Drosophila melanogaster: one gene and its partners. The protein of the gene in region 1 purifies or fractionates together with the protein of each later gene. This does not show direct contact. Each region holds a gene or a part of one and is shown on either strand. Other genes may lie near its edges. The genes, in order: Gcn5, Atac2 and Nipped-A.

The links.
Region 2: the proteins of Gcn5 (region 1) and Atac2 purify together in Drosophila melanogaster (affinity purification with mass spectrometry; 4 studies listed by BioGRID, with this or other methods). This does not show direct contact.
Region 3: the proteins of Gcn5 (region 1) and Nipped-A purify together in Drosophila melanogaster (affinity purification with western blotting; 4 studies listed by BioGRID). This does not show direct contact.

Annotation. Positions count from the first base shown.
Region 1 is NT_037436.4:12,522,017-12,525,772, forward strand, and holds the start of Gcn5 (Gcn5 acetyltransferase), read right to left. Parts: upstream 1,999-3,756; 5' UTR 1,888-1,998; coding exon 629-1,887; intron 575-628; coding exon 1-574. Other genes in the region: ver (verrocchio), read left to right, coding at 2,425-3,069; eIF2beta (eukaryotic translation initiation factor 2 subunit beta), read right to left, coding at 3,138-3,661.
Region 2 is NT_033779.5:18,610,530-18,614,285, reverse strand, and holds the start of Atac2 (Ada2a-containing complex component 2), read left to right. Parts: upstream 1-2,036; 5' UTR 2,037-2,107; coding exon 2,108-2,517; intron 2,518-2,577; coding exon 2,578-2,729; intron 2,730-2,784; coding exon 2,785-2,959; intron 2,960-3,025; coding exon 3,026-3,756.
Region 3 is NT_033778.4:5,248,860-5,252,615, forward strand, and holds the start of Nipped-A (Nipped-A), read right to left. Parts: upstream 2,164-3,756; 5' UTR 2,107-2,163; coding exon 1,870-2,106; intron 1-1,869. UniProt on the Drosophila melanogaster protein: Part of the Tip60 chromatin-remodeling complex which is involved in DNA repair. Upon induction of DNA double-strand breaks, this complex acetylates phosphorylated H2AV in nucleosomes and exchanges it with unmodified H2AV.

The DNA of each region.
Region 1 (3,756 bases):
GCCCGCATAAACTGGTCGCGCCAATTTGATGTCCTTGGAGAAACCCTGCTTCTTGAAGTACCCGATGGCATCGCAATCGGCGAATGTGAGCAGATGCTTGATACCCCTCTGTATGCTGTAGTCCTTCAAGTGGTTCATCAAGTGCGTGCCATAGCCCTTAACTTGTTCCGACATGGTGACCGCGCAGAAAACGATCTCGGTGAAGCCTTGCGACGGAAACGGGCGGAAACAGATGCCGCCGATGGGTTGGTTTTCCTTGATGAGCGCCAGTGTTTTGTGCTTGGTGTCGAAAACCAACTGGCTGATGTACTCGCGCGGCATCTCGGGTAGCTGATAGGCAAATACGAGCTGCAGGCCCAGTAGCCACAAAACAGTCTGCTTGTCCACCGGTTTGGTCAGCGAATTGCCCACCACATGGAACTCAATGGCTCGCTTCTGCTCCTCCGCCTTGACGTTCTCATCCCGCGACACATTAACCGGAAAGAGAATTTCCGCTTTGTTGGTGGTCTTCGACTCGGACACCGATTTCATGGCGCGCATTACTACATCCGCAGGCAGGTCATCCAAATTCTCACTGCGGCAGGACGATTAGTAAATGTATTGAAAGAAGAAAAAACTGATTACCAACCTGCTTGGACGATCGGTGGGCTCCTTTTTGATTCGCTTGTGGAGCGGTTCACCCACACTGGTCCTCTTGTTTCCACCAATGCTTGCTGCACTGGGACCAATGGGTACATTTGCCACCTCCTGGTTACGCTTTCTCTGCTGGATGACAAAGGAATTTGACGGGCGGTAGCTGGTATCCCAGATGGGCGAATCATCCTTGAGCAATTCGGCGCGAAGCGTTTCCAAAAACTTCGGCATCAGCGTGATGATCGAACGCTTGTCCTCGGGAAAGCGATCCCGCTCGGAGATGCACTTCTTTTTCAGCTGCTGCGACATGCACTGGAAAACGGTGCGCAGGAGCGTTCGTCCAAACACTAGGGACGTTTCACATTGGCGCAGGGAGTTACAGAAGGCGGGCACGTGGCAGAACACCAACCACCTGGTGTAGTTGATTTTGTAGTTAGAGGCATCCTCGTGGGTGAGATCTCCTCTCCTGGTCGACGGCGATTCAAAGTTGTAGTGGTTCAGAAAGTTCAAGAACGTCTTGGCCACCTCGGTCATGGTTTGGAGTTCAGGCGTGCTCAGGTGATTGTACTTGTAGAAGACCAACGAGAGCACAGCCTTGGTGATGCACGGCGTCTCGAATGGTGGATCGCCGAGAGGACCCCGGATGACCGCCTGCTGGCGCGTGAGGACGCACTGGCGCAGCAAACGGAAGAGGTACTGGTACACCTTCTTGGTGTCCTCGTCCTCGACGCGCTGCATGGACATGAATAGGTTCTCCATGTCTATAATGGCGCCCAGTAGCTCGTTCATGCTGGAACTGGATATATTGTCCAGATGGGCTATGTGCGATCTCAGCGAATGGCGACAGCTGGTGTTGCGGCACTCCTCGTTGAACTCCGGACAGTAGGAGGACTCGACGTCACGGTGGCGATTTTCCTGCGGTGTCTTCCAGCCGGTGCAACGGCATCCCTCAGACTGGCAGGCGGAATACATCGACAATTTGGCCAGTTTCTGTGGCACGGGCAGATTGAAGACCTTTTGCTTTCGCTGCTGAATGCGCTGTAGGCTGTTCTGGCGCGTTCCCTCTGCCGGCACACTGCCAGCGCCGGACGCAGCTCCTCCGTGTCCTGGATTCTGGGCGCTGCCAGCGGCTCCAGATGCACCAGCGGTTGCTGCGCCATTCGCTGCCTGCTGCTGCTGTTGCGCCGCAGCGTTGCCCGTGTTGTTACCATCGATTGGTTGGCTTTTTATCGTTATGGATGGACCACCAGACATTCCAAGATCGGCAGATATTGCGATTCTCTTCGTTAGTTTTGAACAAAGTGTACTTTTCCTTAAATTTCACAAGCGATACAACGAGTTTGCCCACTTGCTGTGCGCAATGATGGTGCTGCCAACCTGGCGTTTTGTGCAAATGAATTTCTCTCGGTGGTGAAATAATGGTTGAATATATATATTCTATTAACGATTTTACGTTTGTCCATATAGTGTATACTCGTATTATCTGGTGACAATGTTTTTAGACTTTGAATTTAATAAGTAAAAATTAGCAGGGGCGTAGTCAAAACAACTGAAAATTTGTAAGGGGGTTAAAAAGAAAATATTGCGCGGTTCTGCAAATTAATGTGACCCTGGTTTTAACTTATAATACAATTGTGTGAAAATTGCTCACAAAATTAATTTTAATTAATATTATTTGTAAGAAAATACGAAGTCTACGCCCATGCTCACAACTGTTTTTTTTTTTGGCGCTAATGCAAAATGCACTGCAATAAAGAAATCCCCTTTGAAATCGCAGACTAAGCAAATAGAATGGATTTTAATCAGAGTTTCGAGGACATAGAAAGCCAGCTGGATAACTTCGTGATACGCAAGAATCAACAGAGTGAAAAGTCCACGGGCAAATGTGGTCCGGAGGTCCACGACAACGTGCCGCTGACCATATCCCAGATTGAGCGCGCAACTCAGGATCCGGAGAACGAGAATGTGTTCATCACAGACGACGTGCATCCGATTCACTTCTGCACCTGCATCATCTACGCCTTTGTAACTGGCAATGGAACGCACAACGAGTCGTTCATGAAGTTCATGATCGATGATGGCACCGGCTCCCTGGAGGCCAGCATCACCAAAAAACCCTTCAATGGACGCGTGATCAGCAGCCTGTACAGTGAAGCCAGTTCGCTGGCCTCGTCCGAGGCCTACAAGAGCATTGCCGTGAGCATGATGCGGCTGCTGCAGGTCTCCATGGAGTACATTGATCCCACGCGCATCTCGAGGGGCCACAGCCTATTCCTGCGCGGTCGTCCGAATAGGTTCCGCGGCAAGATGGGTCTGGACGCTTTTCAGTTCTTCATAGACAGCGGCCGATCGCGGAATATGGAAATTGGCTTCGTAGACTACCTAACCGACTGGCAACGAAGGCATAAAACAATGCAGAATACAACAAATAAATAGTATCGTTGGTTTTTTGTATTGAAATTTTACTGGTAATAAAAATTCAAAAAGTTTTAAATAAGGAGAATTTAGGTTGTTTTTGCTCGTATGGCGGCACGTTTGCCGGTGACAGCCTGGAAACCTGACTTAATGCTGGCCACCGAGCAGCGGGAGCCACAGGATTCGCACTGCAGGAAGAAGAGACGCGTGTCCTTCTGCAATATCGTTTCCGGGGAGCGGCAGGTGTGACAGGTGACGTACTCCTTGATGTAGCGACGCAGCACATTCTCGATCTGTTTGGGCTGGAAACGGCCCTTGATGATCAGCTGCTGGTTGCCGTCCATGGAGCCACTGGTACCCAACTCGGCCAGCAGGAAATCGAGCAGATGCTTGGGCAGGCGATGCAGCGTTTTCGCAATGTCCATGAAGTTGGCAAAGGAGGTCTTCTTGGTTCCCACGCGCAGCACCTGCGGCGGTCGCATCACGAACTTTGGCTTTCGGCCGGCGGCCATGTCCGGATTCTTGTCGAGAATGATTTCGAAGACCCGCTTCAGCAACTCGTCGTATGTGTAATCGCGGTCGGAGCCAAACCAGGTTGAGCTGTTGTCCTCGTCTGTAAACGGATGAAAACGTTATTTAAAAGGGTATGGTATAAGCTTATTTGCTAAGTGAGAGCTTTGAAATCTGGAGTCTATTTAAAGTTGGAAC
Region 2 (3,756 bases), on another chromosome or scaffold:
ATCCAGACACAATTACACCTGACTGCAAAGAATTTAACAATTATTGTTAAATTATATAACTTATAATGCTATTTAATCAAATATTCATCGAGCATCGTATATATTTTCTCAGTGCATCGGCTGGTAGCAGCCCCACTAATAACGCTAATGGCTTCGATTAAGTGACAGCCAGACGGCGTTTGTTTGCCCCTCACGATGGGGGGATGCCCCCATATCCTTCCCTTACTTTTCCCTTTGTGCCAGGACCTGGCCTTAAATCGTTCGGAAAACGGTCAAGCCATGGCCGTGGAGCTAAGGTGCAATAAGTCTGGTGATTGAGAGCAAATACGGTTGTTATGAACAAAATGGGTGGCCAAACAAATTCTAACCAGCATCGCATCTGTAAATGTCATAATCAGCTAGTAAACGACTATCCAATTTGTCAAGCTCTTTCCAGAAAATATTTACCCTCGAGCTTTAAGTGATTTATGAGTGAAACTCATTTTAACTTTCGCAAAACTAAGATATAGATATACTTTAAAACATAATTCGGGGATATACTTTTGGCTGTAGTAGCACCAACAAATTAATTTGTTTCACCATATTTTTCGCTCTTTTCGACTTGCCAGCGGGCAGTCGCGAATTAAATGAAAATCTCCTCGAGGCGCCAGACAAGCAAGTTGAAAGGAATTCAACTACAGATATTAAAGGCAGGGAAGAACTTGAAGTGCAATATTCAAATTGAATTGAAAACGATGAGTGTTGAAGTGAAATCGTAAATAGGTGCATATCCTGTAAGATGCACAAACTGCATGCTTTGCAGTAATAATCATTCGGCAAATAGAAAGTGATTTACAAAAGAAACAATTGTGGATCCGTTCAGCTTTGGTTCTCAACTGAATACCCCACTTAGCCGGCCTGCAGTTTCGACCATCCCACTTCAGTCCATAAACCAATCATGCACTTCATCAAACACACAACAACAGCAGAAGCAGAAGCAGAAGCAACAGCTTCGCCAGAACGCAGCAGCCGGCGATGCCTAATTAGGCCCGCTTAAGACAACACACTGACCGGGCCAAAAGCAATGGGGCCAGGTCCGATGGTCGATGGTCTGCCGGAAACAGCCTTAATTATGCGTAAGCCGTAAAGAGCCCATTAATGTCATTTTCGTTGCATGGCCAAAGGACGCTGGGCGTTGGGTGGTGGGTGGTGGGCGTTGGTACTAATGTGCTTGGTGGGCGTAGGGCGTGACAAACGCATGCTTGATCAAGCGAAACGGGACTGTACTAATCAAGCGGATTCTTATCTTCTAGATAGGGAGAACATAAAAAACAATCGGGATCTTTTATATAGTGTATATAAGGGCATAAGGATATGCTAGATTCGTTGAAAAGTAGGTAACTGGCATAAGAAATAACAAAAGAAAAAGTCATTCCCGACAGTATTAAGCATATATATGTAATCAGGATCAGTGGACGAGTCGATTAAAACGTGTCCTTCTGTTCGTCCGTATAAGCGCTGTGATCTCGGGAACTTAAAAGTTAGGAAGCTAAGATGGAGCAATCAGATTCTAGACATGTAGACGCATCACAGTTTGTTTCAGAAGAATGCCACGCCCACTCTAACGCCCACCAAGAGCTCAAAACTTTTAAAAAGTGTTTTGATATTTGCTTGCAATTTCTAAAAATGTGACAAGAAAATGTTGAATACACCTGAGAAGAGGGTATATAATATGCGAAGACCATAGCCTTGTCTCTGTTCCATATTAATTAAAAATGCTTATTTATGACATTTTAACAATAAAAAATTATTTTAAATTATGTTAATGCTGACATCTTCGGCATTTTAAAACGGCAATGTTAATAAATAAATAAGTGCTTAATAATAATATGTTTTGTAGTGCTTCAGAAAAGATCAATTAAGAATACAAATTAATTTTATTTTTTGTTTTCCCAATTCAAATTATTGACAAATTTGAACCGAGCACAGTGCGATTTTTTGGTATTTTCAAAATGTAAGCTTCTCATATATATGGTATAAACCAAAAAGTGCGAAACGGTAACACACAAACAACACATTATTTTGTTGATTGTTTTTAACTTGCAATTTGTGCTGTTTTACTGAGTAAATGAATCGGCCCAGTAACTGGGATGATCCCCAGGGACCATGCCGCTACTGTGAATCGCCGGTGGAGGACGACAACTACCTGGAGTGCCAGGAATGCAGGCGGATGGTTCACATCAAATGCCTGCCGCATGCTTGCACGCCCGGAGATCTTTTAGGCGACGTTTTCTTCGAGTTCACGTGCGTCAAGTGTGTGCTGGATAAAGCTAAGGAATCGGTCATACCCTCAGATCTAGAACCCATTAAGGAAGTGATCGTGCGCCAAAGGATACCTTGGCTGCTGGTGCTCACCCTAACGCTCTACAATCTGTCCATCAAACAAAAGGGCTTGGGACACCATGGATTCTTCCATTGGCGCACGCACATCATCAGTTTTGTGGACAAGAACTGGAACTATATATTCGGTCCCAATGTGTAAGTATTCGTAAATGAATAATTTCCGGAGAACACATTCAATTTATTCCCCTTGTTCAGGCGGCGTCGCAAGCAATGGACTGGTTCCGTATCCGGCGCACTGTCCCACAACAGTCCGGAGTACTTTCAGTCTGGTCTGGATGTCTTTCAGGAGAACGGCTGGTGGAAACTGGCCAAGCCCTTTCAAACCCCAAGAAGCGTTCTCAAAGAATGTAAGTGCCACTTAAGTTAATGATATGATAGATTTCACAAGTCGTCACATTTCAGATGAGAAAAAGCAACAGTTGCGGCTACAAATGCGTATTGAAAAGCGGTTGCCTGCAGCGGACGAGACCAGCTGTAGCAGCGAGATCTCAGTGGCGGATCATGCCCAGGATAACCCACCGCTTATTAAAGCAGAAGCTGAGAAACCCAGTTCAACAGAGGGCTGTGCGCGAACAATGTAAGATAATTAATTTTGAATACAACTATGCGTTCCTTTCATTAAAATCTTTCACTTTTATTCCAGTCCCTACATGGGCCGTTTGCCAAAGATACAAACACAACCTTCACCCTTGTCACAGGAAACGCTTCCAGGGCCACCAATTCTTCAAGAAAATATAGCGCCACCAAGTCAGAAGGAGGAAGAACCACAGAATCAGCCTATGAGCATGGTCCAAGCAGGCCTGATGGATTTTCTGGCTGAAAGTTTGGAAAGCGATGATTTTACCATGTTTGGTAACCTACCAGGCATAATGCCCCCACCCCTGATTGGAGCGGGTAAAAATGATTTCTTCATGACCGAGCCGTTGCTTCACGCACCTTTGAATAATGAAGGTCTTTTCGACATGGATACAAATTTTGCCATACCAAATACCGCTGATGAGACCAAACCCATATCAACAGAAGAACCTGCAGCCGAAAGCAGCGAGGAACAAAAAGAAGGCGAGGTAGAAGATGAAAAGCCAGAAGAGGACGAATCACCCGACTATCAGCCACGCATCGTACAGGTTACAAATTACCAGGCGCAAGAGGCAAACGAAAGCATCAAAGAGGAACCACTAGAAGAGATAATGCAAGATGATGACGTCACGACAAATAGCAAATCCTCTATCCTAGAGCCTTGCAAACCGAGTGGATTTGTCAGACAACCACGGCGAAATTGGCCCTGGTTGCAGGAGGCGCAGGATCCCGATGACATGGCCATTCCTAGCGAAAATCTCAAACTAATAAATGCATACGAAGAACAGAAGTTGTACC
Region 3 (3,756 bases), on another chromosome or scaffold:
CTCATACTCTATGGAAAGCGACTAAGGCAGTCAACATGCTTAATTTTTTCTGCGGCACGGTGTTCTACTGTAAAAGTGAAGTCTTGAATTTACATAATCCATGGTCCTACATCTCTCGGTACGTCTTGTTTGGTTGTAGTCTGCTAAAAAGCGACACAATCTGTAATGAGCTTGAACTATATTCCTAGCAGGTAGTGACGAAACTTCTTCATACCTATGTACGCTGCTTTGTCTTCTTAGTAATAGCTATGTCGCTTTCATTCGGCTTCGGAAGTCTTCCTGCTCCAATAATAAACCGGATGAAAACTGCCGTCCACCATCTGCCGCAACACAGCTCCAAATTCATCCTTTAAAGAGCCACTGTGTAGTTCTGTCTCTGCATCTCTTGTGTAAATTTGCCGTACGGGAATGTCTGAGTCGTCTTTTAATTGCTGTATGGCTTAATGTTCACCAATGTAGAAAAGTGCATCTTTTTTCAAAAAAAATTTTCAGCGGACGCGCGATTAAAGCATATCCTGGAACAAATTTTCTGAAAAATCCTGTTAGCCCCAGAAATGATTGTACAGCTTTAATATTTTTTGGCCTGCCACATTTGCCCACCTTCAATGGCATGTCCCAAAAAGTCAATGCGAGTTTGCAAAAATCTGCTCCTTTTCAATTTGAGGCGGTACTACGCAAACAGGTTCTACGGCGACATTGTAGATTGCAGCATAATCTCGTATAAACCATTATTTTCCTTATCCCGCAAAAAAGTATATCCATGCAATGTCTTAAAACAATGATATTTTTTCCCTTTTTTGATCGCACGTTTCGGACATCATTGGACAAAACTCTAGTAAAATTTATTTCTTAGATTTGAGATGTGAGGCGGGTGAATATAAGAAGGCACATTAAAAATCTTCTAATCCGTGCCAGATATAGCCACCGCCAACTGATGCAAAATGGAGTCATTATGGAACAGTATCATCCGTATCAGCGTAAACACTTAAAGCCTAACTTTGATGACATATTTTATTATATATGATTATACCCGTTGCTCGTAGAGTAAAAGCAAAAAAAAAACCTTTAGTTTACATTATTCGGTAACTCCGCTTTGGATACTGCTTGTTTGCATTAGGTGGAGTCTCCCTCTCTGCTTATTCTTTTATCTGAGAACAGTGCTGAATATGTAAGCAGGCCCCAGACAACATGGGTTAAGAAACTTCCGCTGATCAGGATCACTAGCCGAGTCTACAGAGACTTAGTCGCATGTTACCCCGCCGGCAAGCTGTTCAAAACACCCCACGCCCACATATTTGAGAAATCTGTTGAATTTTTTATTTTATGTGACTTTCAAATTTTTATTGGTTTGCCAAACATAATACTACCTAAGAAAACCTACGGACGTAATAAATAATAAATGTGTTTCAAATTTTAAAATTAATGAAGTCGACATCGATAATAAAAATATACTCTTTTTTTGCAATCAAAGTTATGCTTTAAATAATACTTCTTCTGGCAATGTATGCATAATATCTGCGCAAAACTTAAAGTTGCGTAGCACAAACACAATGCACGGTCGTTTTAAATATCAGAAACAGTGGTTTTCAGTTTTAAAAGATTGTTACTAGGGCACCGAAAGGTTTCCCTATAGTACTATATAGATAGCTTTACATAAATAAGTATATAAAATATATTAATAAAATAATTGTATTGTACAAACATAAAAGTTCCGATTATTGGGAGTTACAAATGTAAACACAAAATATTTTCAACTTTGCATTTTAAAAGATAACTACATATATTTAAGCCGAAATTCATTGACAGTTATTTCAACCAAACATGGTTTCTTCATTTAAGGCCCATGCAATGGTGAATTTTAAAACTTACGTGTTGCATTGTATTTTCTTGAATGAACTGAGGTTCGCCATCCTGAAGTATCCGCATAAATATTTTTAAAGAATTATCTAAGAACGACGGATATGCCGGACTTTGCATTATCATTTCAAAGTGTTCACTTAGCTCTTGAGTAGCTTTCAGCTTAAGTTCGTCTTTAGAAGAGGAATCATTTAAAATATTTAAATAATTCCGAAATGTATTCACCGGTACATTTTCAATAACCGACATTGTGCCTTTTAACTCGTTCAACAACTTGACCGCTGTAAACAAAAAGGAATAGTCGGAAATTGTATGACCGATATATTCGATTTAATTGTTTGTCAAGATAGCATATAAGAAATTTTGAAACAGGAACGCAAAAATATTTTAGAAATGCTTCAATTTTTTATATAATATAGAGCTCCCACAGAGATGCATCTATATTAAACCTTTCACAACCTTCAGTGTTAAAAATTGGCACGGAATTAATTCCATCTTATTTGCATGTTTACTGCAGGATACAGGCTTGTCTATCTTTAAGTTAAATTTAAATGTTTTTTATTGCTATTTTATTTCAATAACTGTGTTATTCTATAAATATTTACGTGTAGGGAAATCAACATACAAAATACTAAATAATGTGTATTGTTAGTGATGGATTTAATCACAAGAACATTTAGCTCCGTTTATTTGTGGATGTAGTAATAATTCGGTATAACTAGATTTTTTATTATGTTCTTTAATATAGTCGGTCGAAATGCTCGGATTATTACTTCAATGGTATAATAAATAAAGGAGTGCCAATATTTCAATATTCAATATTCAATATTCAATGGTGGGTCATATCGTCATAGATGACGAAAGAAACGGATAAACCAAATTCATTTTTTCAATAAGGAGCTAATCCAGCTTCATTTAGACTTATTTACCTTGAATTGAAGGCCTGTCAAATTACTTATGCCGAAACAAAAAATCATCATATTTCATTAAGTTTCTTATAACTTTTTAAATTTAAATAAAAACAATTTCGTTTGTTCATTTTTAAGTTTATATTAATTACACACAAAAAATAAAAAATAGTCAATACTACCATATCAAGCCATTTAAAAGTTTCACTGACAAGTGTGCAGCTTTTTTTTGTCAAAATACTTATGCCGACTAGTGTATATTTCAAAAGATCCCTGTGGCGGCCGGCATTGCAATCAACTAAGCATCGGAACGCGACGTTGACACCTAACACTCCAGTGCGGTCGATCGAGCGATCGAACTGCAAGACTTCTAATTATTGAAGGCAATATTAATAATATGACTTCAATGACTTCAACCGACAGCCAAGTGAACTGAAATAAATAAGCTGAGTAATGGTATAAGCCAAAGCATATTAAGAAAAGCAAGATAAAGAATTTTGAAGCCGAGCTCTACAGAGAGGAGCTGTGGTACAAGCCAAAACATATAAAAAAAGAAATTAATAAAAACACATAAACAAATAAATCTAAAAATAGAAGAAAAGAAATTATTACCAGCTATTAAGAAAAGAGCTAGGTAATTAATCTGAGTTCCATAAAAAAATAATAATAATATAAAGGTCGGGTGGAGCAGGCTACCCTCCGCAAGCCAAAGAAGAAACAACAAACAAACAAACGAAAACAACTAATCCCCAAATGTAAATCGGGGATATTATTGAATTAGGGATGGGTAATAATTACAAGACAAATTAAACATCTAATAGTTGTTTTCGTTATAAACCCCAACTCTAGGTCCCATATTGGAAATAAAACCATTGTCATAAAACCGTTTCAGTGCGAGGCGATCGACGGGCAACCCTCCGAAATGAATGGAAGAAATGGCTACGGGCTTTTACAATATATCTCGACGCCGAGGCAGAACTCAACGTTTGAG